Oreochromis niloticus: one gene and its partners. The protein of the gene in region 1 interacts with the protein of each later gene in a biochemical or structural test. Links are inferred from orthologs where the notes say so. Each region holds a gene or a part of one and is shown in the gene's direction. Other genes may lie near its edges. The genes, in order: uba1, ube2s, ube2j2 and ube2z.

The links.
Region 2: of the proteins of uba1 (region 1) and ube2s, one has a biochemical effect on the other in vitro, tested with the Homo sapiens proteins (8 studies listed by BioGRID, with this or other methods). The link is inferred for Oreochromis niloticus from reciprocal best matches to the Homo sapiens genes UBA1 and UBE2S.
Region 3: of the proteins of uba1 (region 1) and ube2j2, one has a biochemical effect on the other in vitro, tested with the Homo sapiens proteins (2 studies listed by BioGRID). The link is inferred for Oreochromis niloticus from reciprocal best matches to the Homo sapiens genes UBA1 and UBE2J2.
Region 4: of the proteins of uba1 (region 1) and ube2z, one has a biochemical effect on the other in vitro, tested with the Homo sapiens proteins (3 studies listed by BioGRID). The link is inferred for Oreochromis niloticus from reciprocal best matches to the Homo sapiens genes UBA1 and UBE2Z.

The regions. Positions count from the first base shown.
Region 1 is NC_031984.2:18,165,980-18,173,640, reverse strand, and holds the start of uba1 (ubiquitin-like modifier-activating enzyme 1), read left to right. Parts: upstream 1-4,144; 5' UTR 4,145-4,368; intron 4,369-5,778; exon of another isoform or gene 5,779-6,017; intron 6,018-7,508; coding exon 7,509-7,625; intron 7,626-7,661. Other genes in the region: camkvl (caM kinase-like vesicle-associated, like), read left to right, coding at 1,120-2,610. UniProt on the Homo sapiens protein: Catalyzes the first step in ubiquitin conjugation to mark cellular proteins for degradation through the ubiquitin-proteasome system.
Region 2 is NC_031976.2:22,314,828-22,322,452, forward strand, and holds the start of ube2s (ubiquitin-conjugating enzyme E2 S), read left to right. Parts: upstream 1-4,465; 5' UTR 4,466-4,692; coding exon 4,693-4,695; intron 4,696-6,312; coding exon 6,313-6,460; intron 6,461-7,625. UniProt on the Homo sapiens protein: Accepts ubiquitin from the E1 complex and catalyzes its covalent attachment to other proteins. Catalyzes 'Lys-11'-linked polyubiquitination.
Region 3 is NC_031970.2:26,352,305-26,360,421, forward strand, and holds the start of ube2j2 (ubiquitin-conjugating enzyme E2 J2), read left to right. Parts: upstream 1-4,994; 5' UTR 4,995-5,129; intron 5,130-5,173; exon of another isoform or gene 5,174-5,432; intron 5,433-7,648; coding exon 7,649-7,779; intron 7,780-8,117. UniProt on the Homo sapiens protein: Catalyzes the covalent attachment of ubiquitin to other proteins. Seems to function in the selective degradation of misfolded membrane proteins from the endoplasmic reticulum (ERAD).
Region 4 is NC_031969.2:1,108,262-1,116,311, reverse strand, and holds the start of ube2z (ubiquitin-conjugating enzyme E2 Z), read left to right. Parts: upstream 1-4,618; 5' UTR 4,619-5,052; coding exon 5,053-5,504; intron 5,505-7,440; coding exon 7,441-7,513; intron 7,514-8,041; coding exon 8,042-8,050. UniProt on the Homo sapiens protein: Catalyzes the covalent attachment of ubiquitin to other proteins. Specific substrate for UBA6, not charged with ubiquitin by UBE1. May be involved in apoptosis regulation.

The DNA.
Region 1 (7,661 bases):
AGTTAAAAAGAGATTTTTATCAGAACCTATCTCTATAAAAATCAGTTTGGAAAAAATGTTATATTAAATGTTAAACCCAAGTCAGCTTTGAGATGTATTGATCATGTCAGGGGCCGTTGAAACTCTTCCCAAGCTCTGTTCCTGCCCACTGTCACTCTGCCTGTCCCAGAAGAGATCCATCCACTCTGCCCCACTTTTTGTCATTGGATTACACCCAGATGTTCAAAGTGGCCTGCTCTACTCCTTTCCTTCTCCTCATCTGCACTAGTTTATGAATCCAGATCTGCAAATGTGAGATAAGCAACAGAGAAGCAAGTTTTTTTTTCTTCACTACTTTTGTAGTATTTAAATTAGTGTAGATAAGGAGAGGGTTAAATGGAAAGGACAAAAGGGTTCTTAGCCACTGTGAACTTATGAACTGCCGTGATTTATACTGTAAGGCCCTCTGGCATTCCTCTTACGTGAATCCTGGCCCATTGTCCCATACTGTTGTTACATTTAAATCATTTTTGAAGCAATACTAAAGCTTCTCAGTTAAGAGATATTGTTTTCTGTAGCATTTTTGTGTCCTAGTGGCTTTTCACTTCCAGAGAATTCAAGGGAATTCGTTTCCCTGGTTTATTAGCAGTTATTAAGCTCACACATTCCCCCCTGACTCCTTCAGTGTTTGTAGAGCAGAAGGAATCAGATCGGTGTAACATTTATAAGAAGGGGATTTATACACATTTGCTTGATTACTTTTTCCAGTCAGCAAGCACTCAAGGAGTTTCTTGGGGAGGGTGAGACTTGAGATTGATTTAAACCAGGGCACAATATGTCATAGCCTTCTGGAAGTAAACAACCGGCACTAATCTACCTTCATGTCACACAAATCATATCTCAGCTCTTAGTACGAAGTTGCTAAAATCATGGTGTGTTGACAGGCTTTTTTGTCAAATGCTTGTCCTTGAAGCTTATTTTTTAAGCTTTTCCATAACTATGTTATCAAAGTATTTATTTTTTTTAGCGGGGGGGGAAGAGGAAATATATTTTAACGAAAATTAAATGTGCTGCAGATCTCATTCTTTTCATTCTAACCATCCTTCTCTTGTTTTTCTTCTACTTCTGTCTGTTTCGCAGAAAGCGATCCGTGTCACCACATTCATGCAACGCCTGAAGAATTCAGAAGCATTGATTGATAGCTCTGCTGAGGTTCAGGGTAGTGAGGAGGCAGGGGATGGTGAAGGGGGTGCGTCGCAGGGAACAAGTGATGAGGGAGAGAAAGGGACGAGTGATGGTGGGGTGACATCAAGTAGTGTGTCTTTAGAAGTTACTATTGAGAGTATGCCCTCTGGTATGGACCAGAGTAAAGAGACAGTTAAGGCTGGAGAAAAACAAGAGGAGGTAAAGATGCATATAGGCCCATCTGTAGGAACTTCGCCATCAGGTGTAGAGGACCTTTTCTGTCAATCAAATGCGGTCCCCAACTGTACCCAGGAACAGCCTGACAAGGTTGGTGTAAAGAAAGGAGCAGGTGACGGAACCAGGAAAATGGCTGCAAATTTGGGCCAAAATAAAGTTGTTCCAGAATTCAAACAGACGCCTGCGGTGAGCCCTGAGGCCTCAAAGCTATTAGACAGCACTTCGGGCATTAATCTTGACAAAAAACACATATCGTCCTCCCCTGATCCCAGCAGCAAATGTAAAATGGCTGCAACACTTCATGCCCCTTCACACACAGCATCCGCTGTTGCATCAGCCTCACCGCTGAAGAGACCAGTCACACAAAGCGAGCAAAAGGATGAGACTGACGGAAGTTGGTGTCAGACACAAATACCTGAAGCGGTGGCAGAGAAGTCTGTGGTGGCGCCAGTCACTCCAGCAGTGGGGCCAGGTACAGGGGTGGATGGAGGACTAGGAGTCAGGCTAAGGGGCGATGCCAGTCCAGTAGATAGGCAGGACAGGAATGCCAGAAGAACAGATAGATACAGCGCTGAGTTTAGCATACCAAGAGCAGGTGCTACACCGGGACAGGCTTGCTATGCAGTTGGAAGCTCTGCTAGCTTGGGCCGTCATGCCACACCATACAATCCAGAGGTTGGGGCTATGGGGATGGGGATGGCTGGGAGCTATGGGAGTCCATACAGTTCCCTGTATACAAGTGGAGGAGGTGTAGGGAGGTATGGAACTGGGCTACAGCACAGTGGGGGGAGCAGCACTTCAAGCGATTGGCAAATGGACAGTGTGATCGAGCAGATAGAAAAGCAAATGGCTGCTGTGCTGGAGAAGATCGAGGGAGACATGCCGTCGCTCCTAGAGCAAATCAGTGACTGTCCTGCTGAGCAACCTCGAGCTCGGAGCACACACGCCTCTCCCGCCACCTCTCGTGCACGCCCCTCACAGCGGTCCACATCTGCAACCACCGGCACCCCACCACCACTTCCTACCTCTCCCAGACCTGTGCTGCCATCTCTTCCTCGCATTAGCATTCCTCCTCCTGCCTATCCCCCACCATCTCCACCCACAGAAGCCTCACCCCAGGCGCTGGGAGAGCAGGAAGACAGAGATGTACAGGCGGCTCCTGCTCATTCAAGCCAGTCACCAAGACCTGGGATAGGCAGGGGACTATGAGGCAGGTGTGCATGATGCAATACACAAAGGCAAAAATACCTGGAACACTGTATTCATAGTTAAACTTAAGGATTTAATGACTGTCTCACCCAGAAGGACTGCCTAATTGTGCGCAAAAAGAGAAGTTATTACACTGTTGTTTGGTTTGGCTGCATATTCATACCAGATGACCCTACGCCCTTCTGACATTCCAAACACTTTCATCACTGGAGTCTAGAGGGATTGGAGTACAATATATATATTTCTGTATGACAGCTTCACAGATCAAGATCTTAAAAGTTTGTTAAGATCTAAAGAAAGTATGCTAAATCCAGATTGTGTGCCTAAATGTTTACCACACAACGACCTCATATGGAAATCCAAGCACTCAACAAATTTCCAAGTTATGAAGCTGCACAAATAAGAATGGCGAAATTCTCAACTAACAGTGAAAGAAAAGATCTAAATAAAGTATTATACCCTAAAAACTGTAAATAAACAAAATCAAACTAGGTTCCTAAGTCATATTTTTCTTCCATGGTGTGAACTTCCAAAGTGACATTTACTTGTTTTTTTTGTTCAAAGCAGATCGTCCCATGATTTATTTTTGGGGGGTTACTATGTATTTATGTGGCTATTTATTCTGTTGTGATGCTTGGTGTCACAAAGTTGTACAGAAATATGTGAAACTGATTTGATAAAGCCATTCCCCTGGTTGCAAGAAATTAAAATTTGTTTTATTAAACAGTATATTTAAACTTAAACTGTCACTTAGACTTATGAGTTGTTCCACATCTGTCAGAGAGCTGGGGAAAATATACTGTATAAAGGCTTTGCAATAACACGGTAACACTTACATTTTCTCTCCTTTTTCCCCCAAACATTTCCAGATAGTTTGTTTTCGTTTGCTCCAGTTTTGTCAGCACATTCATTTGGTACCGTTAACTGGACAATCCTGCCTATTTTATCCTTTTCATCATAAAACTGTTCTGACTTTTGTTCTGCTATTGGGTGTATGTAATACCAGATTCTGTGCTTTTCTCCTGAACAAGTCTAGATCTCCACTATTCTGTCCCTATGTAAAATGTGCACTGTTTGCAAGTCTTTCAATAAAAGTAAGCCAGTAAATACATGCATATATATTGAGTTGTTTAAAATCATTTGATCACTCTTCAAAAAAACATTTTAGAATTACAGCCGTGTTTTGTTGTTTTGTTTTTTACGTGCTTAATCAACATTTATCCAAAAGGCAGATTTCTGACAGGCGTTCTATTATATTATCCTATATGCCTACAAGTCCCATAAGGCACTGCGTGAACTTCGGTTTAGTCCATGGTTGTAAGGCTACGGGGGTAACAAAAGTAGTCTTGTTTCTAAATATACAACTAAACCACAGAGCAGTGTAATATTCAGTACGCTTTATCTTGTGGATGGGATGTGTGAACGTTAACGATTAATTAAAAGACAGAGCAGACACAAACCAATCTTATTCATTTTCAATTAACCCCAAGACCCGGAATGATGGTTGTGCCTGTAACGTGCACATGTTGCTGCTTTGCTTTGCTTTCAACTGAAATAGAGTGAGGGGAAACGGGTTGGGAACAGCCGGACAGGCAGCCGTCCAGCGGAAAAAACTCACACAGAGCCCGCCACCGTGACACACTTTTCACTTTGCAGTCAGTGGCGGTGTTGAATTGTCACCTTGGTTGTTGTTTTTCTTTGCTTAAGCAGAAGCCGATTTTTAATACTCCAGATCAGGCCGAGTAAATATCGGATGTGGTAAGTTCTGCACACTTGTGTAAGCTCTCGTCCTGGTGATGTTAGCCTCAGCTAGTTTGCTAATGTTAGCTAGTTAGCTAACATAGCGGCACAAGAAGGGGAAAAAGTCGCTGGGTGGCTAGATAGCTCGAAAGCTAGCCGCACACAAGCTAACAACTACGCAGTCTTTTGATGTGCGTTATCGGTAGTCGTTAATGTTAGTTGCAGACGGCTGAGCGAACCATTTAAGCTCCTTGCTCCGCTAACGGTAGCTAACAAGGCACTGACACGTAACTGTTAACGGCAAATTAGCATTTGCACGTTTTTATGTGCACGGGGTTGCTGCTTTAATTAATGTTAGGCGATAAATAACGTTAATGGTAGCTAGAAGGCTAGTTGCTTCAAACATTTGATGGATACTACGTTGAAAGACAGACACGAGCTAACTGGCATCACGAGCGTACATGCTGGCACTATTTTTTTTCCTCGTATATCTGATTGTATATGTAGGGTTCCCGTTTCGATGGCACGTTATCGGCGTTATCACAGTAACCTAACCTAACACTGGCTAGTCTCTCTGTTTAGCTTGTCAAGTTAGGCAGCCTATTATTCGGACATCATTGATATTCGTATGCTTCAGTTCAAAGGGAACGGTGTAATACTAGGGTCTTAAGCATTTTCTAGTTGGAAGATGAGAATAGGGGATCACCTCGACATGTGTACCCGAGTATATGCGGCCCACTCTTTTTTTTTTTTCCTGGGCCTTTGTCATTTACTAGGCACCCCCTCCCCCAATACTCTTCTGCAAGGAGTGCTCACCCCTAACCTCAATGTGACTAAAAGGCCCAGACGCTCAGCATCACTAGCTAATAAGGATCGTACACTATCCGACTTGAGTAGTGATGATAATTGCTGAATTCAGAAAATAGTCAAAACAATTGGTGTGTTAAGTGGAATGTAGCAAATTGTGCTCCAGTGAGAGTATATCCAATGGAGTTGTAAAATGTGTTCTTTATGATGGTGCATTGTTGCAAGTTTGGTGTTCAGCTTTGTTTATGGAGTTCACATGAAGATGACTGATCCTTGCTAATCTGCCTCTGAAACAAAGGTGTTGTTACTGATGAGTTACATTCAGCTCCGTTAAGGGAGAATCCTTTCATGCAATGATCTCAGACATACCCGGAGTTATTTATTTATTTTTTTTCATTAAGTGTTGTTTTTTTTCACTAGATTATTGGAGATCCTACTGTTCATTGTACAGTAAGATACTTGGCATGCATCCTCTCGTAGCGAGGGCGGGATCAACGCGCTTTAGCTTGGGCTTGAAGAGCCAATGAGCCGAGGACCTGGATGAGCAGCGTGCTTGCAACCACCCTTTCCTGTTGAATATTTCAGCCCCTGCGTCACAGCTCCTCCGCCCCTTTCTCCCCATCTGCCATTTTGGTTTTGTTCCTGTCTGCAGTCGCAAAGCCAGCAGCGCAATTACATAGGAGAGACTATCGGCACAACGACATAGTGACTCGACAATATAGTGCAGACCACCCCAATTCCGCATCGCGTTTCTTTTCTCTGTACAAATCGTCGAATATACAATCAGCGTTTTTACTGACAGCTACACACAGCAGGAGAGGAGCGGGTTCGCATTGGGAAGGGACCGAGAAGGATTATTGGTAAGGAAAGGGAAATCAATGGAGCACGAGTGTAGTGGCTTGGCTTGTATTCGTAGTGTTTATGTTAAGTGACAAAGTTAAATTGTGCTTTTTGTTAGATGCCTAGACATTAACCCATGTCCATATAGAAGCTGTGGTAGACGCCTGTCAAATCCGTTGCTCTCCAGTGCGAGAAGGTCGGTTGGAGTGTAGCCACAGCTGCTAGCTTGTAAAATTGTGTTCCGCACTGAGGGTAATGCAGGCCTAGGCCGAGCTGCTAATGGATAAGCTGACAAGCTGGTGTTTTCTTCCCTCTAAGTTATTAATGTTTAGACTCTGTCCACTTGCCAAATCACTTAACCGATTAGTGGTTCGGAACCTACTTAGTTTTCTATTGGTGCTGTTATCTGACAGTTAATTTATATTTTTCTACACATTGAGATCTTTAAATCGACTGCTACCCGTTAACGTTTTCTAGTAGGATTGGCAAACTACTGTAACAGCCGGGCGGCTTTGCTGTATCATGCCGGACGCCTTCATTTTCGGTTTTGACAAGCGAGACCGTTCGGTTAACGGTGATATGAAAGCTATTTTAGGCTGGTTGCAGTCGTATGAAAATTTGCCCAGGTGTCCTCATGATTTAAAGTCGTAGAGAGGGTTATAAACTGATACGTGTGCCTTGGGAAATGCACGGAAGTTGGCGCCGCATTGGATGCGGAAATTGTGCCCGATTTTTTTTCTTTTCTTTTTTTTGTGCGCCTAGAATGTATTTGAAAAATACTGCGGCCCTCCCGAGTGCAGAGGTTTATCGCGACTATTGCGTTGCGTCAGAAATCTAAATGCATAAGTAAATGCATTGCTATTAAATGTTGCTGTTTAGAGCTTTCTTGTAACATCGCCATCTACAACTTAGTTGCAGCACAGCATGGTCCTTGTGTCCGCACCTGCCAGCCATTGTGTGGTATTGCTCAGTTTACCGCAGTGAACTTTTAATGATTCAGCTCTTTTCCTTGAAACGATGTTGGGTGTCCATAAATACCAGGAAAATAAACAAAAGAAGTATCTAAACAAACCTGTGCTTTCTGTGAGCATGAAAGAACCGGTAATGCTATTCGTCTCTTCCCAGCCTCAGTTCGTTTTCTAGCAGATTTGTGTTTGGCCTGAAGCCAGCCCAGCTGCTCTCTAGGCTAAAAATCCTCTCTTCAAAATGAGGGGGACTGGTTAGCCTTTAGTTTAGGTACTTATTATAATGGAACCATAGCAGTGAATTATAAAATTACTACAGTTTATATTAACTGGAATCAGTTGGCTTCTGAGAACATTCAGGAAATCCAAGCTTGTTGACAGTGTGCTGTCTTTGTCTTCTTTTCTTTTTTTTCTTAATGATGTAAGGTGTCTTTCTTTTATTCTGTATTTATTGCAAACTACCAAAAATCTTATAGGGCAGTTGTTAACTGGTAACATGCATGTGCTTGAATGACAACTTAATTTATGACGGTGGTTAATGCACAGATGTCCAGCTCGCCGCTGTCCAAGAAGCGTCGCTTGTCAGGAACAGAGACGAAGACGGGATCCCACTGCTCCTCCTCTAACTCTGTCAGAACTGATCTGTCCCACACACCTGCCAACGTGAGTGCAAACACATTTACTCTATAGAGTGAGTAG
Region 2 (7,625 bases), on another chromosome or scaffold:
TAAAAACTAAAAGTACATATCCGGACTCGAAAAAACAACAACAACTATATTCTAGGAAAAAGATAACTAAATGAAATTAAGTTGTACAACCACCAAACTGAAATAAACGAAATAAATAAATACATGAAAATATGTAGGAAATGTTGTTTTCAAAGCCTGCCTGACTAAGGCTTTGATGCATTGTATGGTGAGACTTGAGATTTCTACATGACTGCCTTATTCTATTCTGAAATAGTGGACAATGATGTTTGCAGACGACATTGTGATTTGTAGTAAGAACCAGGAGTAGGTTGAAGAGCTGAAGAAAGTCAGTAGAAGTATGACTAAACTAGACTAGAGAGGTGAAAAGGTAAAGTTTCAAGGAGCAGAGGTTGCAACGTTGGATGAGTTTAAATACCTGGGGTCACATCCAAGACAACAAACAGTGCATAAGAGAGGTTAAGAACAGACAGTGGTGGAGATGAGTGTGGGGGGTGATTTGTGACAGAAGGATAGCAGCAAGAGTAAAAAAAAAAAGGCTTACAAGATAGTTGTGACACCTGCTGTCATGTCTGGTTTGGAGACGGTGCTACTGACAAAGAGACAGGAGGCTGAGCTGGAGAGGGAAGGCTCAAATGGTTCGGGGATGTGCTGTGGAAGGATGGTGGATGTATTGGACAAAGGATATTGAATGTGCAGCTGCCAGGCAGGAGGAAAAAAGGAAGTCCACCACGAAGATTCATGGATGTAGGGAAGGAGGACATGCAAAGGGTTGGTGTGTCACAGGAGGATGTTAGGGGCAGGGTGAAATGGAGGCAGATGATCTGATGTGGCGACCCCTAAAGGAAGGAGTCGAAAAATGTATGTATTCTGAAATTATTAGCAAATTATTATTAGCTCTTAATAAAAATTTTCCCTATTATAAAAGAAAGTTAGAACTTAAAACAATTTAAAATGGAAGCAAGCAAATCCATAAAGTGAAAACTGTAAATTTTCAAATTTACATTTTTGCAGAAAAAATGTTAAATCTGTCTATTTTTTATTGAGATAAATGTATTTATTTGCAGTTGTGCAGGAAAAATTTTAATGGTTGGATGGAAGTCCAGTTTAGGAAAATCAATTTTGTTTAATGTGTCTAATAGAATAACAAAATCATTTTTAGTTTTAAACAGATTTTTGAAATATTTTTACAGACTTTATGGCAAGTAATCTAATAGATTTGTTAATTACTGTAACTGTTAGGGTGACAAAATCCTAAGCTTAGTCTTACTGTAGAGGCTAAGCCTACGCTTGAAGCCACTGAGGTACTCAATGACAGGGATGTCACTGGTATGCATGAATATATTTAACTTGATACAGTCCAATAACTCCAGCCTTACTCATCTTGTCCTTTAGATTCTTTATTTCCACAACAAAAAACTCAAAAAGTGACCTTTAGCGGCATACATAAGGTATCAACCCAAATGACTCCTACACTTATTTACATAAACTCCTACTACTGTAAAGGTGACTTGTTATGCTTAAATATTTAAATCTATCTATCTATCTATCTATCTATCTATCTATCTATCTATCTATCTATCTATCTATCTATCTATCTATCTATCTATCTATCTATCTATCTATCTATCTATCTATAAGATAAGATAAGATAACCTTTATTAGTCCCACACGTGGGAAATTTGTTTTGTCACAGCAGGAAGTGGACAGTGCAAAAGTTATGAAGCAAAAATTAGAATAAAATAAAATAAGAATAAATACAGTACACAACTGTACAGAATAGAATAAAATAAAATACTATATACAGTAGAATAAAATAGAATAAAATATACAATAAGATAAAAATAGAATACAAATGCTATATACAACTATCTATCTATCTATCTCATAAAATATGGCAGTGTTTTGGAGTCACTGAATCACCTCTTTAAACTTGATTATAGACAGTGGGACAATTTTGGCAAAAAGGTCAAGATTTGGTCATGATGACCTGTCTGATCGAGCATCAGTATGCGGAAGAAGGGTGATTTAAGTGACTTTGAACATGGCATTGAACATGCATTGGTGGTGTCAGACAGACTGGTCTGAGTATTTCAGAAACTGCTGATCTACTGGGATTTTCCCACACAACCATCTGTAGGGTTACAGAAGATCCAAAAACAGAGAAAATATCTAGTGATCAACAGTTCTCAAATGCTCAAATGTCAGGGGTCAGAGGACAACAGCCAGACTTTTTCGAGCAGATAGGAAAGCAATAGCAACTCAAATAAACCACTTATTCTAACAAAAGCATGCAGAAGAGCATTTCTGAAAGCACAACATTCTTAAAGCTACAGGGCTACCGTTACAGAAGATCATACTGGGTGCCACTCCTGCCAGGTAAGAACAGGAAACTGAGGCTACAATTAATGCAGGCTCACAAAGATTGGACAATCAAATACGGGAAAATGTTGCCCAGAGTCTTTCTGCTATAAACATTAAACACGAAAGTACAAATCCATCCTGCCTTGTCTCAATGGTCAGGGTTACTGCTGGTGTTGTAATAATGTGAGGACATTTTCCTGGCCAATTTTGGGTACCAACTGAGCCTACCTGTGATTATGTCCATCCCCTCATGACCACAGTGTGCATATTTTCTGATGGCTGCTTCCAACAGGATAACACACCATGTCACAAACCTCAAATAATCTCAAACTGGTGTCTTGAATAGGGATGGGTATCGAAAACCGGTTCTTGTTGAGAACCGGTTCCCACTGTTTCAATTCCTTGGAATTGTTTGCCATTTTTGCAAACGATTCCCTTATCGATTCCAGTCGCCCTGAATGACGTCACCACGTTGCGGAGCGTCATTTACCTGGCAGGGCGCCTAAGCGGCTCAAACGCTCAAAAGTTTGATTATACTTTACGAGAACGGATGACAACAGGGCAACTTGCAATACTTGCAAAGTAGATATTTAATTTAAGGGAGGAAACACTACGAATATGCAAAAGCGTTTGCTCACAAAACACGCGATAACCTTAAATGAATGTCATGTTTTTAATTCCGCTCCGGACTCGTGAATCTCAACCCAGCAGCAGCGGTAATGTTTGCACGTCCTCTCCCGTTAATACGGCAGGTAAATAATCAGCTAACAGTGCATATTATGTTAGCGCGATCTGCCTTATTACAAAACCTGCCATTACTGTGCGCTGCATTTAGGCGACCATGATGAGAGAGACAGAGTCTGGCTGGCTCAGATGCTGGCAGTTCTCGCTGCAGTCTACCGGTAGTGTCTCCTTTCAGGCCAGGATAGACGAATGTCACCGAGCAGCCTTTTGTGGTCAAAGGCTTGCACCCATTTGCCACAGCAGATGCCCCCGATTTTCCGTAAGTGAATGTGTTTAATTGTAGGCAGGGACATTACTGGATATTCTTGTGTAATTGCTACAGAATAATTTATGTTAAACTTTGTAAATGTAAAATAATAAAGTAAATATTCTTCTGTAGCAATAACAATTTTTTTTCCTGGGGACCCTGTGACACCCCATTGAAGAGCCGTAGGCTGTGGATCTCTTAAGATCTCACTGTTGGTTTTGTAAGGCCATGTTACTCCTAAATTTCTATCTTGTTCAAAGAGAAGATATAAAACAAAGTTCTAAGCTATTCGACCTTAGTGTTCTCCTTTTTTAAAAAGAATCGATAAGAGAATCGATAAAGAATCGAATCGTTAAACAGAATCGAAAATGGAATCGGAATCGTGAAAATCTTATCAATACCCAGCCCTAGTCTTGAACAAGAAAATTAGTTCACTGTGCTCAAATGGCCTCCACAGCCAGTTTACCTCAGTCTAATAGAGCACCTTTGGGCTGTGGTGGAAAGGCACATTCACATCATGGATGTGCAGCCATGTGCAGCAAATCTGCTTCTATTGTGTGATGCTATCATGTCAATCTGAACCAAAATTTCTGAGGAATGTTTCCAGCACCTTGTTGAATGTCATGAAGACTTAAAATAGTTCTGAAGGCAAAAATGGCTCCAGAGCAGTACTAACAAGGTGTAGGTCACCTAAAAGTGTGTCTGGTGAATAAATGTTAATTGTGTTGTTATTTTTGGTGGTGTATTGCTCAGGCACGTTTCTGTCGTACACGAATACGAAAAAAACTGTGTGTGTAATTTTAGTCAGTTATTGTTAGATTAGAGTTAACTTAATTAACCAACATTAAAGGAAACCTATCATACAACGTAACAAAAGTGATCCCGCTTATCAAGTTAAGTATTTATCTATTGAATAAATTAGGAAGGCTGGTTTAAACAGTGGGCGTTTCTTAATTTTGGTGTTCAATGTAGCTGATGCTGATCTTTCAGTATCGATTAGATTTGAGAGTTTTTTAAATGGACCTATCGCTGGCGTGTATCAGATGTACTTTTCACTCTATGTGACTGATAGGGCTTTTTGTCGTGACGCAGCTCTATCGCTGCATTTCGATTGGTTTGTCTCTTCTGACGTTTCACACCACTATGCCGCTCATTGGTACGTGCTTTAAGGTTCAACTGAGGATCGTATTTTTGTTCCTGTGTCAACGTAGAGAAGAAAAGAAGAACGGCGATCATCAGCCAGCCGGCTAAGTTTTCATCGAATATAGTTTTTCACTCCTCTAGACTCTATTAGAAACGGTTCTTTATATCTGACACCAGCCAGACACCCACCACCCAAGCAGAGCTCCTTTTTGAAGATGGTAAGATCAACCTCTTAGCTAACGGCTAATGGGAGACACTGCTAGCTCTAACCGATTTTAGCTGTCGAGTTTTTTTTATTTTTCGATTTTTATGGGCGGTTGTGTCTATTTGTTAAAAGTTAATGCGTTTATTTAATGTCTTCAGATGTATATTCGTGTAATTAATAAGTACCTTCATACACAATAGAAACTATTACCACTAAACCAAAAGCTTCTTTAACACGAACTCTAATCGAGGCATTTGCTAGGCTAGGTATGCTAACGGTAACATAAAGTTAACATTGCCCGTCGATTGCTTAACTGATATTAATTATCTACTGTTGTGCCTTTAAAGCATACTTCAAGTTGATCAAGTTATAACTCCTCTGACTTCTGTGAGGATGCTTAACGTGGTGCGGGGACCGCTGGCTCGATGATGAAACCGTAGCTCCCCCAGAGGAGCTCCAGCTCATGTTCATTACGTAAATACGTGTTAAAATTAGGAAGATAATGACTAGCAAGCGCGCATTACATAGAAAAGCGTGTGTAAAATGATAGCAGATCCGCAGAGGAAAATGTAGATGGTCTCAGGTGGTACCGATGATAGATTTTTCATCTGCCATATGGCCGATCGACACATTATTAAAATGTGTGAAACGAAATCATCAAAGCCATAGAAAAAAATTATGCTTTAGTGTGTAATTAGTCGATACCTACATAATAAACATTTTGATAATGTTAAATTTACTTCACTCACACTCGCTGTATATTAAAGAACAGGTGTCCGGTGTGCTAACAGACCAACATATTGAGGCAGTGTCATATTTATTTGTTAGTCCAAGTTTAGGAAAGTAAACACGTGGCTGTTAAATGTTTACATCTACTGAGACATTCCTACAAAGGTTTTTGCAGTAAGCCAAAAACTAGGTGTGAAATAAATATTTGAGTAGACTGAAATACAAAAGAAAGTGAAAATCAAAATGTAGAGGAAATAGCCTTAGCTTTAGCCAGTTTGCTTGTCAACATAAACTGTCTAATGCTGCAACTAAATATTTTCAAAGATTAAAAATGAAAAACTAAAATGAGCGAACCCATTCTGGAAATTAAACGAATGCTTAAAAATAAAAAGTCAAAACATGTGGAAAATATAAACTAATTTTTTTTTAAAAAGTCCCCAAGTCAGCTGAAGTAACACTGAATGGTGTAAGACAGTTGTTGCTATAGAAAAGGGAAATAAATGTACATTGTACAAACTATCACATAACAATATAGAACAAAGTTTAGACCCCTTTTCTGCTTATAGGAAGTTGGGGGGAAAAAACGTAATAAAATGTGCTTCATTTTTTTCTGGACATTCTTGATGTCAAAACTGCATAATTTGTTTAAGTCTACTTCTCAGCATTAGTAACACATCCCATTGTCCTACACAAGGATATTCTTTTCTTTTTTCTGAATCTGGTGATCCTATATTTGTTGAGTTTTTTTCAGCTGCTTTGGCTAACATGGCCTAAATGTAAAGCTTTATCTTAACAGTACCTGAGGTGAAGTTAGGGCCTTCATTTTTCCTCATTCTTAGTGAGAGTACAGCTTGATCATTCCTCTCAGCGCTGTTGCTAAACCATTGTTATGTCTCTCCAGAACTCCAATGTGGAGAATTTGCCACCTCATGTTCTTCGCTTGGTCTACAAAGAAGTTTCAGCTTTAGCAGCAGATCCACCCGAGGGCATTAAGATTTATCCCAGCGAAGAAGACATAACAGAGCTTCACACAGCAATAGAGGGACCAGGTAAGGATTATGATATGGTGTCATCACTTCACACTTAGAGCAGGACCGACACAACTCTTGGGAGTAAACTCACCACGTGTATTTGCTGTATGGTCTTTTGATAAGTTAGGGCTTTAGACTCTCAAAAGTTTCTTTAAGATCTCTAGTTTGAATCAGATTTGTCAAGTTTATCCTGACTCAAAATATATTTTATCATAAAAGTTCAGTACAGAGCATTTCGTATTTCATTAAGTAGACAAATTGTCAGAGACTGACGAGTAAAATATACTTAATGAAACCATACTAATTGTATTACTTCTTTCCTCGAATAGCTAATGTGGAAATTTATTTTCAAAATCTAAGTTATTCAGTGATAAAATATCCTAGTTTAGTCACCTTGCAGCTTGTATTTTCAAGGGTTTTTTGTGTATTCATAAATATATTATCTCTCAGGGTTTTTCCTGCATGCAAAAATTTCTAGGTTTCTATCAAAAATATTTTAGCCCCTTTTCTTTTTAGACTGTATTTTATTTACTTCAACATTACATGCATTCTTGTTTTTTAAAATGTCCAGAAATAAATTCAGATTTCTGTTAAGTAAGGTGACAGAGACTCGCCGCCTTCACTGTGTGCCAGGCAGTCGTGCTAGTGTGTTCTGGTCATTAATCAAAGGGTCACCAGTGTCCAGGAAAAAACCTGAGCTCTGCGTCATGTTTGCAGCGAACTGTGCATTTAAAGTGTGTTAGTTACTTCACCACTCAGCATCCAGAAAAACAGCTTTATACTCTAATATTTAAAGGCTGAGAGTTTCTTATTGATAGCCAACTTTGTATTATCAGCTCAAGGTAATAACATGACTGGTGATGGCTGAGCCGAGTCAGCTGTCTGCTCCATGATTTTTAGGTATTATGTGGTTAACTATTGAAGCTTAAATGGAAGCCATCAGCTTTCATGGAATCTTTTACTTACCTGTACATAATTTAGTTTTTGTGCCATTAATTTGTAGAATAATAAATCCTCAATGCCTGTTTTACATTTCTATTTCCCATTCGTGGATCCTTCAAAATTTATGATGTCGTGTAATCACTTAAATTATGGATTTTGTGGGTGTTGTTAATGTCATGTGAGACACATAAGCCACTTGAACTATCATGATATCTTGCCACTATGCACTCATTGCTTCAGA
Region 3 (8,117 bases), on another chromosome or scaffold:
TCACCTGCTTTGTAAGATACTCTGTGTCGTCATGAGTGAGTGAGTGAACAGGAGAGTGCACGTGTTAAAGAATACTGAGAGACAGTTAAATAATATGTAAAGGAAAAAAAAAAAGACTGTGCACTTTTCCCATATACAGAATTATCATTTAGCTTTTACATTGTTCTTGTCTAGTCAAGTTGTTGTCAATTTATTGTCTATTTTAATGATGTCTTTTTTATTTATCTTTCCAGAGGACCAGTGCAATGCATTATTGAATGCAGTTTTATATCAGCATTTCTGTTAATGATTGTCATTTCAATCTAAAATCCTTATTCAGAATTTATGACGGAGGTCTTTCGATATATTGTACACTAACAGCAGTCAGAAAACTTTCAAATGGCCTTAGATTACAGAGTACTTTCGTCTTGGCAGTAAAACATGCGCCTTCTCATTAGATTGTGCAAGCATATCAATGGAACTTCTGATGGTACTGAGGAAATTCTGAATTGACAGTGACTCATTATTTGAGCAATAACCATGGAAATAGTTCAGAGCAGTGAAGAGATGCAGAAACGTAAAATTGCATCATGGAATTCACTTCCATTTATGGAACATGAAACTATAAAAATCTCTCCAGTTTCCTGTCAATGGTAATATTACAGGAAAGTATTCGTGTTATGGTGAAATTATGGAGCCTCTTTTAAAAACTCGTGTCGTGACAGGACTTGCATATCTAGGTCAGTGCCAAGAATATCCTCTGTATGCTTTGCTAGATTTTTGGAAGTTTGACCTTCTTTGCATCTTGAGCATGATGAATATTTTTTCTATAATTTGATCACTTTGTGCAGTGCAGTCCTGTCAAAAAAAGCATGTACCAATATGACCTCTCTGGTGTCAGAAGTTTCTTCCTTTTTGCACCTCTGTGCCATTGTTTCATCCACACACGAATCTGTGGTGACTTTTCTTCTTTTCTTTTCATTTCTTTCATTTTTTTAAATACTGTGGTTTTATTTTCCTCTGCCAAAGACTTTTTTTTAAAGGGAAAGTGTCTGACACTGTTGTATAACATCATGTTAAAAAAGGAAAAAAAGAAGAATTGTTTTGGGTATATACAGGATACTCTTACCATCCTTTCTGAGTTGTGAGAGTGGTAGAAACACTGTTGGTGCTCACATGTTCAGAAGATGTGACTTGCCTGATAGATGCAATAGTTCAATGTACTGCAAGTAGAACCAGTCTCGGGGGGTGATGTGAAGCTACTGTGACCAAACTGTTAAGAGCTGTCGCCCTCGCGGAAGTATTAAATATTGTGTCCATTTGTGTGTAGTATTGACTTAAGAGTGGTTAAAGGCGCAAACATGCTGTAAATAGTACACTTGCATATTTTAACTTAATGCTAACTTCCTGCCTCTCAGCATTCGGTCACAGATTCTGTTTAATGTTTGTTTTTTCATCGTCTTTGAAAAACAGCCGGTCGGGTAGAACTGTGACACGGTTCTGAATTACTTGCGGGGGTTCTTCTGTTTACTGGCATTTGGATATCTTTGGAATACTCTCTTCCATGTCTTTAGAAGCACTAAGGGGAAAAAAAACAAAATACATACAATAAAACTGAGAAACTGAAATGGATCTGTTAACCCAGCTGCCTGCTTCTTATTCTCATTGCTGTTCCCTCGCTCATCTTTTCTGTGTAACATTCTCCCAGCATTCTTTTTCCAGATGATAGCTGCTCTAATTTATCGAATAATAATAAATACGGCAGTGGTTGTAATCCATAGATATAGCCAGATGCTGGGAGAGTGCTACTTTACAGAATACTCTGGTGTGTCTTTGGCAATTTACAAACTTTTGGTAGCACTTGGCTTATTCAAAGCAATAAACCGATTAGTCTCATGTTGTGAAATATCACTGAGGTGTACACGTGGATCCCTCCAGACTCTGCTATTTAAGGATAACTTAAGCATTCAGAGTCTTATGGATATTAAAACAGTGCTTCATCTTCTTGCCTGCAGCAGCAACACTGTGCCTTGAATAATTCAGTGTCTCCAGTGTGTAAAACATGTATGTGCTCTCACAAGCGTTGTCACACCATCCCTGAATAAAATGTCCTCTCTAATTCCTTCGATTTAACACTAAAGACAAATGACACATGTCCACTTGAGGAAATAACCACTGACTGACATATCATTGCTTCTATTACCACAGGACGTACCCCGAGCAGCAGGAGAGTAAAACCTAAGGATGTTCGGGATAGAGTGAGTGAAGCATCCTGGGCTGTCTTGCTGTGGCACACTAGCGTGATACTATGATTTTTTCCTGCTCTGGTGGTTGCGCTTTAACTTGAGGTTCTTGCTCTGTGGCCCTCCCCCCTCCTATTTTTATGGATAAGCTTGGAAAACATTTGCTGTGATAATGCTGCCAGTCTTTTCCCTTTCTTATAAATGAGGAACAGGAACATTGCCTTAAGGAGGATGTGCCAAGACAACTACAATACAGGATTTATATAGTTAAACTGTAATTTTGACCATATTCAATGCGAGTTGGTAAGTTAAAAAAAAATGAATGTCTGAGCCATGAGTGGACAGGATGCTCACCACTACTATTCCACACTTGCTATTGAGTATCCAGGAATCCCATTTAAGAGGAAATAAAGGTTTTTTACTTGTACATCCCATGATTCACAGGGCTAGGCTTAGGAGCTACGCAAAAATATGAGGCTGTGGGCACTTTTCTTTTTCGTGGGTATGCAAAGCAAGCATTAATCTGATCTTTCTTCCTTATATTCTTGCTTATATACGGTACTGTACAAAAGTCTTGAGTCACCACTTGTTTCTTAATTTGCTTCTAATAAACCAGACTTTTATGTTATTTTCAAAAATGTGGTCAATAGTTCAAAGTTCATCAGCTGCTTTTTTGCTGAACTTTACTACAGTTTTTGTGCCTCACAATTTCCAATCAACACTGATGATTCATTCAAGTATAAAAAGGCTTCTGACTTCAGGGATGTGCCAGGCTTGTCTTAACAGACAACTTGCCAAACAACCAATTTTAAATTTTATTTTTAGTCACTGTGTTTCTGACAAATGGTTAAAATCATTTGTTGTAGATAAAAACATTATTTTTGCACCAATGAGGTGATTCCTGAAGAGATATTAGCTGGAAACTTAACGTATGTCCACGTGGCTTTCAGCATGCGCTTAAAATGTTGAGGAAACGGGACAAGAAAGGATTTGATTAAAAAAACAAAACAGATGAACAGAATCTGAAAGTCATGTGCTTAAGAAACAGGTTAGAAATACAGCATAGGCCCAGCCCAGGCTCTGAGATATGCACCTGACCCTTCATTTGATCCCTCTACTGTTGAATGAAGCCTCATCATAAATTGTCTCAGTGCAAGAGTGGCTAGATTCTTAGGAAAGGAAAACAGGTAAAGAAGAATGACATACGCCAAATATACAAGAATTGGACTAAAAATCAGTGGCGACATTTTTGAAGGAGTGATGAATTCAAATTTTATATTTTTAGTTGGTGTCAGTGAGTGTCTACAGCATTGTCATGGTTGGACATTTCAGCCAGTGATGTTTGGGATCTTGTCAAAATTGAATGAATTATGAACGCAGAAAAATACTGTCAGATTTTGACCCACCATGTAATGATGACAGCTTCATTTTTAATGCTTACAATGATCTCAACCACACTGGCAAAGCATTGCTAGATAGAAAAACTCACAATGAAACAGTATTAGGCATAGATTAGTGTTACCAAAAGAAAAAAGAAATGAGTGGTGTCTCAAGATTTTTTCACGGTAATGTATCGCATATTCTAAAAGAAGGTTGGTAATTCTCCATGGTGCCCTGCATCGGGACAGATCCTTGACTTTAGTGTCCACTGTTTCAGGTGACATCTCCTTCACTGATGTCTTTCGCGAGTTTTCTCTCCTCGCGTCTCTCCATCCCGAAAAGTTGAGAAGAAGGAGCTTACAGTTCAGCAGCTGTAAGAAGCCAAAGTGATCACTGCTGACCCCTCACTTCATCCGACCTCTCTTCAGTCACTTTGGAATCAGGCAGGAGGCTGCTGCGTTCGATTAGAAGACATGTTGGTCCTGCAAAGTGAATGCTCTGGGAATGAAAAAAAGAAAAGTCAAATTCCAGCAGGGACAAGTTAAAACTACAGCAGACTTGTAATAGTTGTAATATTCTCTCGTAAATAAACTTGGTCAAAGCCAAACATTTCTATTGCCCTGATGTTTTAGCTGACTTACTCCAGTTTTGATAATGTTAGTCATCCAGCAGAGCTGACATTAACATTTGATGACCTTTAGAGATATAACAACAAAACAGTTCTCAACCTGTCCAACTAATAAGTCAACTCAACCTTGGACCTGTCTGAGCATGAACAATGGGACCTCTGGAGCTTGAGTTGGATAGGACATCATGTAGATGCATCATCAAAATGGAATCTGGGGAGCCTGGAGGTTGGGTCAGTGCCTTGGCTTGTTTTTTTGTGTTCCTATTTCTGCCAACAGGAAGTACAATTTCTTTATGTGCAACAGTTTTTGGACAGATGGTCATATGTGCAAGGAAGTCCTCATGACTCTCAGGACCCGAGTTTTCCCTGGAGAACAGTGCAATGCAAGAGGTGATGATTGTTATTTACTGTAATTTAAAAAAAAAAAAAAAAAAAATCCTCTCAGGAAGCAGTCGAGCTCCCCAAACCCTGGGTCTCACAGGCACACCAACAAAATAAAAAAAAAATAACACAGATAAAATAATCCGGGTTTGACTGTGTTTGCTAATGCTTATGCAAATATTTCCATAAGCTTAATGACGCTCTCTATGATGAGTAAATTAAACTTGACCTTTAAATTAAGTGAAGTAATCCTTTTATACCTATTTGTTCAGCATTTGTGATGAAATTTCTGATAAAATTATTTTAAGTGTTTTGTAGCTGATGGCAGAAGTCAAATAAAAAAAAATCTACTGAAATTATTAAATGTCTTGTGGAATGTTTTATGTTGTTTAGTCCGTGTTTTGTTTCAAATCCAAATTTAAGCACCAGCATAAAGTACCGGGAGGCCCTCTGAGCCCCTCGCATCAGACAGACCGCTGTGCAGTGTGTCAAGTGCTACTTGGCGATTGACTACAAATGTAAGTACGGATGTTATGACTAAAAGACAGCTATTGAAGGGTGACCGTGTTTGTAAGACGGTACTGGACTTCCAGGAGGATCGAGATTGGGCAGCTAGCGACAGTAAAGCACTTGCTAAGTAATGTTTCGACTGCTACAGCAGCGATGAAGAAGAAAACCGGAAGTGTAATTTTTCCTCCTGCTGGCGATAGCGTAAGCTACTTTGGTGTCATCGTCTTATCGGATTGGGGTTGGCAACAGAAACAACAACCTTATTTCGTGTCCAGCCACGAATACATATTTTCGTTGGGGTTTCTGGAGAGGTATGTGTGCACTACACATCCCGTAGTTACTAATAAAAGCGAGAGATGTCGCGGTCAGCTGTCGTTATACAATATACAATACAACTGTTCGTGCTAGTAGGTGCTAACATTAGCCGGTTAGCAGTGGCCTACGTTGGCTAACGTTAGCCGCTTGTTCTAAAATGCACTCAAACAGGAACCGACACCGGCTAGCATTAGCAAAGCCACCGTGCCAAGCTAGTCTTCCTGAACTGGCTTTACTGATTAAAATGTGGTGTGATTAAAGAGTGGTCAGACACATATGCAGTCCTTCTGTAGCCGAAGCTTGGTCCGTAATAGTTGTTTATTATTTGATTATCAGACTTTATGACAGGCACTGAATGTGCCAGAAATGCAACATTAGCCGCTAAGTAGCGGATTAGCCTCAGCCACATAAGTTGCGTTAAGAAGCCTTCCTCTTTATTAGGAAGCGATAATGACATAATTCTAGCACTGCTGCGGTCCACGTACTGCTTATTACATGTCAGCGTTTGTCCCCGTGACAGCAGGTCAGTTGACAGTGTCTGTTGTTGTCGTAATTTTCAATTACATGGGTTGACAGGGGAAGAAAGTTTAAAGTACATTTATATCCGTTGTGTAAGTATTTGGAGCACAATGCGTATTTTAACTTGAACGCAATACTTACTATACTCCACTCTCTGCTAAATGCTTACTTTTTCACTTGGCGAGGCAGTGTTGTATGCATATAGCATTAAAGCACCACAGCAGTGCTGTGCATGAGTTATAAAACAAACAGTCACAGCGCCATTAGAGAACAATGAGAGATGGGATAAATTGTTTTTAAAATTCGGTGCTTTTTGTAAGATGTACTAATTGGACAACTTCATCTTTTAGGAAAACAGAGGGGAAGTCATCACTTGATATTTAAACTTCACTCTGCAGCCAAAATTGAGCTATTTCTGCCTGTTTCTCCAGTTAGCGTTAGCATTTGCTAATAAATAAACAGAAGCCTGTACTGGTTACGTGTTGTTCAGTGTGAGATTTTACTGCCCTTCTCTGCTTTTGTTGTTGTTGTAAATTAACACACTGTTAGACTATTCAACCCGATATCACTCTAGTTGAAACACATTGAACATGTTAGGAACCTTAGCATTATTTTGAACAGTGGTCTTAGCATTAATAATCATACTAATAAGGCCAACACAACTGCATATACAACTTTCTAACAGTATAACCATATGAAAAAAAATTCTTATCTCAACTGGGAAATGGTCCATCCATTCATATCAGCCAGGTTAATGGTGTATTTGCAAGATTATCCAAATCATCAGCTGGATAACTTCAGCTTGTTCGAAATTAATTGGCTGCCACTGCAATACAGAAATGCCTTTAAAATCCTTCTGTTTGTTCCTAAAGCACTCAGTGGTTTGACCCCCAGTACATCTCTGACTCTGAGAGGTCTAGTTAGGTCTATAACCTAACTAGACCTCTCAGGTCATCAGGTGCAAGTCTGTAAACTGTTACCAGAATGAGATGAAAGTTTGCTGAGGGTACGTTTTGTTATAATGGTTCTCTTCTTTGGAACAACCTTCCCACTGACCTGATGTCAGGTCCAACTGTGTCTACATTCAAAACCAAACTTGGAGCCGCTTTATTCTTGCAGGCATATGATTAATAACTTTGTGTGTGTGTGTGACTGTTAACTTATCTAAAGCGCTATACAAATACAGGCCATTTACCATTATCTCTCTTATGTTGTTTTTATTGCCTTAAGAGATTGTAGAGCTACATAGTTTTTAAAAAATATTTTTATCCTTTGTGGCAAGCACATTTAACCTACGTGAAATGAAATGTACTATATAAATAATATTTGCAGTGATATGTTTAAGAGTTTATCAAATATTTAATAGTATTGATATTTAATAGGTCAGGTGACAGTGCTGGATGCACTGTAGGCAAAGTTTTTTGATCTGCTCTAGTTGAAGCTGCAGTTACCTTTCACAGGCATATTAGGGTTAAAGCTTTCCACTAGCCAGAATGATTCATTCAGAGTTCTTCCTTCATTCATTCAGTCATTCAAATCTATGCAGTCCAAAGTTCAGATCCATAGTAAAACAGGATATGCTTTGATTTCCTAATGTAAAGGAATACATCTGGACAGTGATGTCAGTGTAAAACCAGATTTATGCAATTCACTGTTTTTGTTTTCTCACTGTTCATGTTCTCTCAATCATCAGATGAACAACAACGGGAACAAAAGAGCTCCAACTACAGCCACGCAGAGACTTAAGCAGGATTACCTCAGGATAAAGAAAGACCCCGTGCCTTACATTTGTGCAGAGCCCCTTCCCTCCAACATCCTAGAATGGTAAGTTCTTCAGTCAGGAAATATTGGGACTTTTTGACTCTTGATGTCCGGCCAGGGAAGGGTGTTTAGGGCCATCGGCAAAGTTTAAAACCTGTGTATATTCTGTAGAAAAATAATAAACTAAACATTTAATGTGTAAAATCAGGCTACTGTTTTACACCAACAAAATTGAATCGTAGTTTCCAAGATGAACAGATTCACTTGTATTTAGCAGTGGATGCAGTTTTAATTCTGTTTTCAGAGCTTTAAAAAAAATGTACGGTGCTGTGTAAAAGTCTGGAGCCAGTCCTCATTTCTTTATATTTTGCTAAAAAAGTGACACCGGTGCAGCAATTTTT
Region 4 (8,050 bases), on another chromosome or scaffold:
TCAGCGTGTCTCCAGCTACCTGTCAGTGGATCACCAGCTTCTTGACAGACAGAAAGCAACAAGTGAGGCTGGGGGAGATCACCTCTGAAACTCGGTCCCTCAGTATTGGTGCCCCTCAAGGATGTGTCCTCTCACCACTACTGTTCTCCCTCTACACTAATGACTGCACCTCCAAGAACTCAGCTGTAAAACTCCTAAAGTTTGCAGATGACACCACCGTCATTGGCCTCATTCAGGATGGTGATGAGTCTGCATACCGGCAGGAAGTTGAGCGGCTGGTACTCTGGTGCAGTCAGCACAATCTGGAGCTGAACACTCTTAAAACTGTAGAGATGACAGTGGACTTCAGGAGACATCCCTCAACTCTGCCCCCCCTCATCATATCAGACAGCCCTGTGTCGACTGTGGAGATCTTCAAGTTCCTGGGTACCACCATCTCCCAGGACCTGAAGTGGGAGACCAACATCAACTCCATCCTCAAAAAGACCCAGCAGAGGATGTACTTCCTGAGACAACTGGGGAAGTACAGTCTTCCACAGGAGCTGCTGATCCAGTTCTACACTGCAGTCATTGAGTCTGTCCTGTGCTCCTCCATCACAGTCTGGTATGGTGCAGCCACTAAACAGGACAGGTGCAGACTGCAGCGGACTGTACGGGCAGCAGAAAGGATCATCGGCGCCCCCCTGCCCTCCATCCAGGATCTGTACCTCTCAAGAACCAGGAAACGGGCAGGGAAAATCATCACAGACCCCTCACACCCTGGACACAGACTTTTTGATCTGCTGCCCTCTGGCAGACGGTACAGAAGCCTGCAGACCAGGACCACCCAACACAGGAACAGTTTCTTTCCCCTCGCCATCTCCCTTCTAAACAGTTGACCTGTCACACTGCTCCCACTGCCAGACTGTAACTGTACCTTATGTACATTCTGTAGTATTCATTCCACCTCATTTCATTTCTGTATTTTATGTATATACGTTTAGATTAGTTATAGTTGGTTTACACAGCTTTGTGTATGTATGTGTATGCATGTGTAATGTATATATAGATACGTGTGTGTGTGTGGGTGCGTGTGTGTCTGTGTCTGTGTGTGATTTACATTGCTGTGCTCGAGAGCCACCATCTACCGGAACCAAATTCCTTGTATTTGTCTGCACATATACTTGGCCAATAAACACGATTCTGATTCTGATTCTGAAATTTTAATTGGGCACAAATACTATAATTTGGCACAAATACCATGATTTGGCAGAAAAATACTATGATTTGACACGAATATGATGATATGGCAGAAATAATACGATTGGGTACAAGTACTATGAATAGCCACAAGTACTATGATTTAGTACAAATACTATGATTTGGCAGAAATACTATGATTTAGCAGAAATACTATGTTTTAACATAACTAATATCTTTTGACAGAAATTTCTGCTAAAAGGTACTATTTCTGCTTTTTAGTAGAAATACTGTAATTTGGCATAAATACTATGATTCGAGATAAATACTATGATTTGGCAGATATACTGTAATCAGCACATATATTATAACATGACAGACATTCCTCCACTTAGTAGTAATACTATAACATGAAATAAATATTATGGTTTTGCCCCAAAACCATGATTTGGCACAAACAACATGATTTTTCAAAAATACTATGATTTAGCAGAAATACTATGATTGAGCAGAAGTACTAAAATGTAGTAGAAGTACTTTGATATAGCACAAATACTATTATGGAGGAGTAATACTTTAACATGGGAGAGATATTGATACACACACACACATACACAGAGAGCAAAGTGTACAGGGGCTGTTAAGAGTCTGGGCTTGGTATATCTAGGTCAGCTAAATTGGCTGCACCTGCTGTAATCAGCACTTACACACACAGACACACAGAGAGCTATGGGTTTCCTTCAGTGTATTTCTCACATTCAGGATTCCCCTCGAACAAATGGCCATAATTTCCTAACCGTAGGAGCTAGAACGGTCATTCTGACACCGTTTTGTTCAGAAGAGATGGGGAAATCTGCAGGTCTTCATAATTCAGAGATAAAATATAAATTCTTGAAGATATATGACTTGTAATACACTGTAACTGAGTAGAGGCAAAGCAAAACTGCCTTGACCTGCCCTCAAACAACGTTTTGTAACTCTAAATCTATATGGAGCATCAAAATCATTCTTTCACCGTAAGAAACAGCAGGCTTTGGTGAACAGTCATGGGAATTTTCAGGTCTCTGTGGAAATCCATCAAAACGATATGACGAGAGAAAAAAGTGCCTCATTTCCAGAGTTTGAAATCTGTAGAGATCTGAGCAAGGCATGAATTTCCTACTCTCAAACAAGTGTAATTCTTGGCCAAACGGTAATAGGTGATAAAAAACTTTTTGAATTGTGAGCATCAGGACTGTCTGAAGATATATTTGCACAAGCCTCATGTCTCAACTTTGTTTCGTTAAGGAGATATGACGATTTAAAAATGCCTCTCATTAGACAAATACAGCGGTGATTTTGAACAAACTCTCCATTGACTTTCTAAAGACAATTTTCAGACTTTGTGTTACTCTGAGGAGATTTGCAAAAAATCTATAACTCCCACAACAATGATAGTGACCTTTTTCTGAAAGCCAGCAAAAATACCTACGTTTTGATGTATAATATGTGGAGCTTGAGTGGAAATTGGGCGAGTAGCAAGAAGTTGTTGGAACATGAAGAGAAAATTCAGAATGGATGAGTGTCCACTCTGAGTTAATTGCATAGCAACCATAACAACGCATGTATTTTCTGAAAAATCAAAATTTTGCAACTGAAAACTTAAAGAGGGATAAGATTAAAACAGTAGAAGATCTGAAAAAGCTGAATCAGACAGGAATAGCCCAATAATCTGAGAACATTTTAAAGTTTGAATGGAGTTTCTAGGTGAAAGTATGAGGAAGTAGTTAAGTTTCAAAAACAAGCAAGTTTTAGCAGAATTGCGGAAGTTTTCCATTCATTTCAATGGGACAAATTAAAGGAAAAAAGTGTAATATTTTAAAAAGTATGATAGTAATAAACACCAAAAGTCATTGCCGGAAAGAGCAGAAAGGGCAGAACAGTATAGTTTGAACTGAGAAAATCGGCTGAAAACTGAGGGAGTAGTTGAAGTCCAAAAAGTGTACGGAAGCAACTAGAAGAATAATAATAAAGAATAAAGAGAAACAGGAACTCAATAGTGTGGAAGCCCTTTGAGGGCATCCACACAATAAAGAATAAAGAGAAACAGGAACTCAATAGTGTGGAAGCCCTTTGAGGGCATCCACACAATAAAGAGAAACAGGAACTCAATAGCGTGGAAGCCCTTTAGGGCATCCACACAAATAGTGTGGAAGCCCTTTAGGGCATCCACACAATAAAGTTTAAAGAGCCTCCAGCATCCACACAATAAAGAGAAACAGGAACTCAATAGTGTGGATGCCCTCAAAGGCATCCACACAAATATGTTACTACAAAAGATCTTAACATATTATTAAAATGGGAAAAATTAACAGCCAAAAACAAATAAAATGCGACTGAAAGTTGTGGCACTATGTGCCGTGCATTGTGAATGATGCACACTGTTTGAAAACTCAAGACAACCACTTCAATAAAAGTTAACATCTAAAATATTAAAACAATAAATAAACAATAAAAAGCTATCTTCGATAACTTATCTGACGGTGGAACGTGGGGGCAGGAGCCTAAGCAGGGAACGCCAGACCTTCTCACCAGATTCTTCTTCTTCCAGCTTATCCGGGGAAATATTAAGACATTCCCAGGCCATATAATTGATATATTCTTTCCAGGTCCCGGGTCTACTCCGGGACCTCCTACCGTAAGGATAGGCCCGGTTGAAACACCTTACCCAGGAGGCACACACCTCAGCTGGCTCCTTTTGATGTAAAGGAGCAGCGGCTCTACTCCTAACCCCTGCCAAATACTGATCTCCTCACCGTATTGCTAAGGGAAACCCTATCCACCTTTTGGAGAAAGCTCATTTTCTGATCTAATTTTATTGCCTAAGCTCTTTACTGTGTTTTTTACTTACTCATTAAGTGTTTACTCTGATTATAGGTCAAGGGAGCTGAGGGCTGTTTTCCAAACTGACTTTCATAGAACGGGACTTAGCTTTTGCAACTACAATACTTCACAGGTGCTGACCATTAGAAAAAATGCAAGTCTTGATTTTATTACAGGGCTGAGTCCATGCATTGGATAGGCAACCAACTTTGACAGGAAGCATTCAGCTCAACTCATTTTCCAATTCCAAATTTTAAAAAAACGTAAAAAAGTATATTTAAAAAGTACAAAAATATCTTAAAAATTATCCAAGACATATTATCTCTGTTTTAGATTACAGAGGCAAAGGAGGAGACAAACTGAGATATTTTCTGCAGATGCAGAAGTGGATCACAAACTCGGACAGTTGATTGTGAGGGCACAATAACTTCCCATTCTTTTGCAAATTTTGAGCATGGCCTTGCTCAAAAGCTAGCTGCAAAAGCTGAAATGATGGTGGGTTGGTTTTTTTTTTGGTTTTTGTTTTTGTTTTGTTTTTTAATTTTCAGGAATTTTACTTTGAAAATTTTTGCCCGGATGTGCCGTGGCTTTATTATTTCCGTGTTCTTAACTGGTGACAAATACAAGCTCCTAAAGTTGCGATGGTAAAAGACTGGTAGGGATGTGGTTGGTAATAAACCAAATGTTCTGAGGATTTAATGGTTTAAACCAGTATCCAGAGGGCAGTGGTAACCGTAACACTGTGACGTTGCAATTTTGCTGAAGACCGAGCAGTTTTTTTTGGAGGCCTGGGGGTAAAGACAGTCAAGCTAACGATAAATATTCATTATGTCTTGGGAAGAATTGCCTCGCTTTCTGGCCTCGCCTCTGCCCGGTTTCTTTGCTGTCTGATCCGCGTTGGGCACCAAAGGAAGCAGGTTATCTTTAAACTCTATTGTCAATGCTGCGCAGGAGAAAAATATAAATTACTCAACACCAACGGGTTTACTGTAGCTTGCTAGCTTGTGGGCCATGGCGGACAGCTTTGGAGATGAGTCCAGCAGCAGTGCCCTAGGCTTAGACGTTACTACGGGACAGGGGAGCGGAGCCTCACAGCTTCCGATTTTGTCTAACTCTCTGCCGGTGGGAATGTCGGCAACTGGCGGTGTGCACTCCAGCTCCAACCCGGCCTCTCCGCCTCTTGCCGCCACCGCGCAGAGTGGCCTAACAGCTGTGGTGGCCCCTATGTCCGCTGTCACTGCTACCCCGGTCAGTTTTGGGAACACATTGACTCCCGGCTCTTCACCACCCGTCGTGGCCGTGTCTCCCACATTGCATGCCTCCTCGCCTCTCCCCGGTGTTGGGCTAGGGGCGGCAGGAGCGGGCCTCCTCTCTCAAATCAATGCCACTTCCTGGGACCCAACTCTCAGCACGGACTGGGACAACGAAAAAGCTTCCCAGCAGTGCATCCTGAGGATAAAGAGGTAATTCTAGGAAACATATCACACACAAATCTGACGCAGGTGGGAATATTTATGTAATCTAGACCTGCAATCGAAAGTGAAATCTTTCCGTAAAGTTTTTAACAGCATCTAAAACGTCACATTTGACGGGGACATTTGGGAAACTAGAGGTCTGTAATAAGAAGCGAGATTTCGTCGGAACCAGGTAACCACAGGGTTACTTTTCTGTTCACTATCTGTTTTCGGGTTAACTTCGTACCAGGATTTGTCGCCATGGTAACTTAACCTCCCCCAGAGCAGGTCAAGTTCGAGATCAGAGACCAACAGGTGTGAAATCGTTGCCTTCTGACGAATCGGTTATCCAGAAAATTCACCATTCCTAGAAGGTCCCACAGAGGGTCTGAAGTTGTTGTTGTTTTGTTTTAATAGCGTGTAACGTCTTTGGCTTTCACATCAGTAATAAATATAGATTCTTAGATACAGCTTTATTCCATGGTTTTATTTTATTTGTATTTTTTAATGTTAGAAGCAGACAGTTTTACAGCAATTTTATTGTTCTAGAAGGATTAATGATCTTAAAACAGGACACTTACACTGTACTGCTTCAAACCCTTCAACACCACTGAGTCTGTAGCTGAAAGAATAAAAACTAAAACTTTCTGGAAGCATCACGTTTTCACTGAGTCTTTTATTTGTGACATGTTTTGAGTGAGATATGTTTAACTAAGCCTGGATTAGTGGGACCAGTTCAAAGTTTCAGAGCTCTAACGTGTAGCCATCACCTTAGAAATAAACACCAGCACTGAGAGTGCACTCAGTGATAAATAAACATTTAAATTCCAGTTAATTATTTATAGGGCTTTGTGTGCTAAATAACCAGATTAATAATTTTCTGCAGCATTAACTGCATGTCTTCTTTGCAGTTGTTGCATTTTGCTGTTATAAGTTTTATGCTTTTTATAGATTTTTAATCACAATTTTATCATCATCTAATAATATTGCTGATTGAATTGTTGGCATTTATAGGGATCGTTTTCTGTGGAAAAAGAGTAACATTGCCTTTGAAATTCCTGTTTTAGATTGGTAAAATGTTGCCAACACCACCTGGTTTACACAAACATGCAGGCTTAACTCTGCAAATTGATAACCTGATTTTTGAGACGGCTTATTGAGATTACCAGTCTTACGGTAAACAAATCCAGAAAACTGAGAGATACCCTTTGAGCAGTATTTTAGACAGTAGCGCACTCAGCCTATGTTTAAAGATGTTGCTTTAGTTTGACCTACACATACATGAACACACTTCTTTGATTTTTAACATTTCATTAATTTGTTGCTTAATAAACAAAAATAAAGTTATTAAGGAATCGCTTGACCCAAATTAATGAAATGTACAATTTCACTTAATTTACCTGTTTATGCAGCTTGATAGCTTGAACATTCTTGTTGCCTTCGAGTCTTTTCCTGGAAGTTCTAGCATCATTGCAACTCTGGTAAATAATTCCCGTCTAATGTATTAAAGCAAACAGATTGTTAACATGTTGGTATCAGTTTGAATGAGTCTTTGTCACAAGTCGAGAGGACTCGACTCAGCTGGTTGTATTTTGGTTTCATTCCTAAAGAACAGCAGGGTTGCTGAACACAGATGCAGTTTATCACTGTTAATTGCTGTATTATCAGAAACACACTGCATATAATTGCCAACTTGACTATGGTAGGTTTTTTTTAATGACTGCGTTAGTATGCTAGAAAACTTCACATTAGAGCAACTTTAGGGCCCAGTACTGTACTTAAATGTACTTTTTATAATAGATTTCTGAAAATATTAAGATCATTCACCTCCAGGGCATACTGTTTTACTAGTGGATTGCTGGAATGTTTAGGGGCATATTTCTTTGTGGGTTCTCTCTCCATTTTTCAGTGTTTCACAAACCTCATCTGTTTATTTTGTCTGTAGGGATATTATGTCCATCTACAAGGAACCTCCACCAGGGATGTTCGTGGTCCCTGATCCTCAGGACATGACCAAGGTAAAAGGCAAAGTACAGAGATTTACCATCCTTTGACATCATTAACATGTTAACTTGATAGCCAATCAGATTTCAGTAGGCTTCTTATTCCTGGGCTTGATGCAAATCAGGATCAGCACTGGACTTCCTCTGGAGTACTGAAAGCGCATTGAGGTGACTGTTGTTGTGAATTGGCGCTATATAAATAAAACTGAATTGAAAAAAGTGGTATAGCTGTAAAAAGTGCAAAACAGAGAAGTGAAGAGTCCTTTAAACTGTGACTACCTCAGTGTTTTCCATTCAACTAGAGTTGTACCGGTGCTGACAGCAACCATTAACTAATGGAGAAAAACCTTTAGATCCGAGTCAAAAAAATTGATAATGACTCAGCGCGAGTCAGTTGTTTTCTAGATTAAATTTCTTTGCTAATTGGTCTGTTCTTCCCTAGCATTCCTCTCTGCCTATAGACATCATTTTAGACCTTCTTATCAATCCCCATCCTGTCTTTCTCTCATCCTTTAATCCCACTCCTCTGCCTCATGACTTCAGATCCATGCC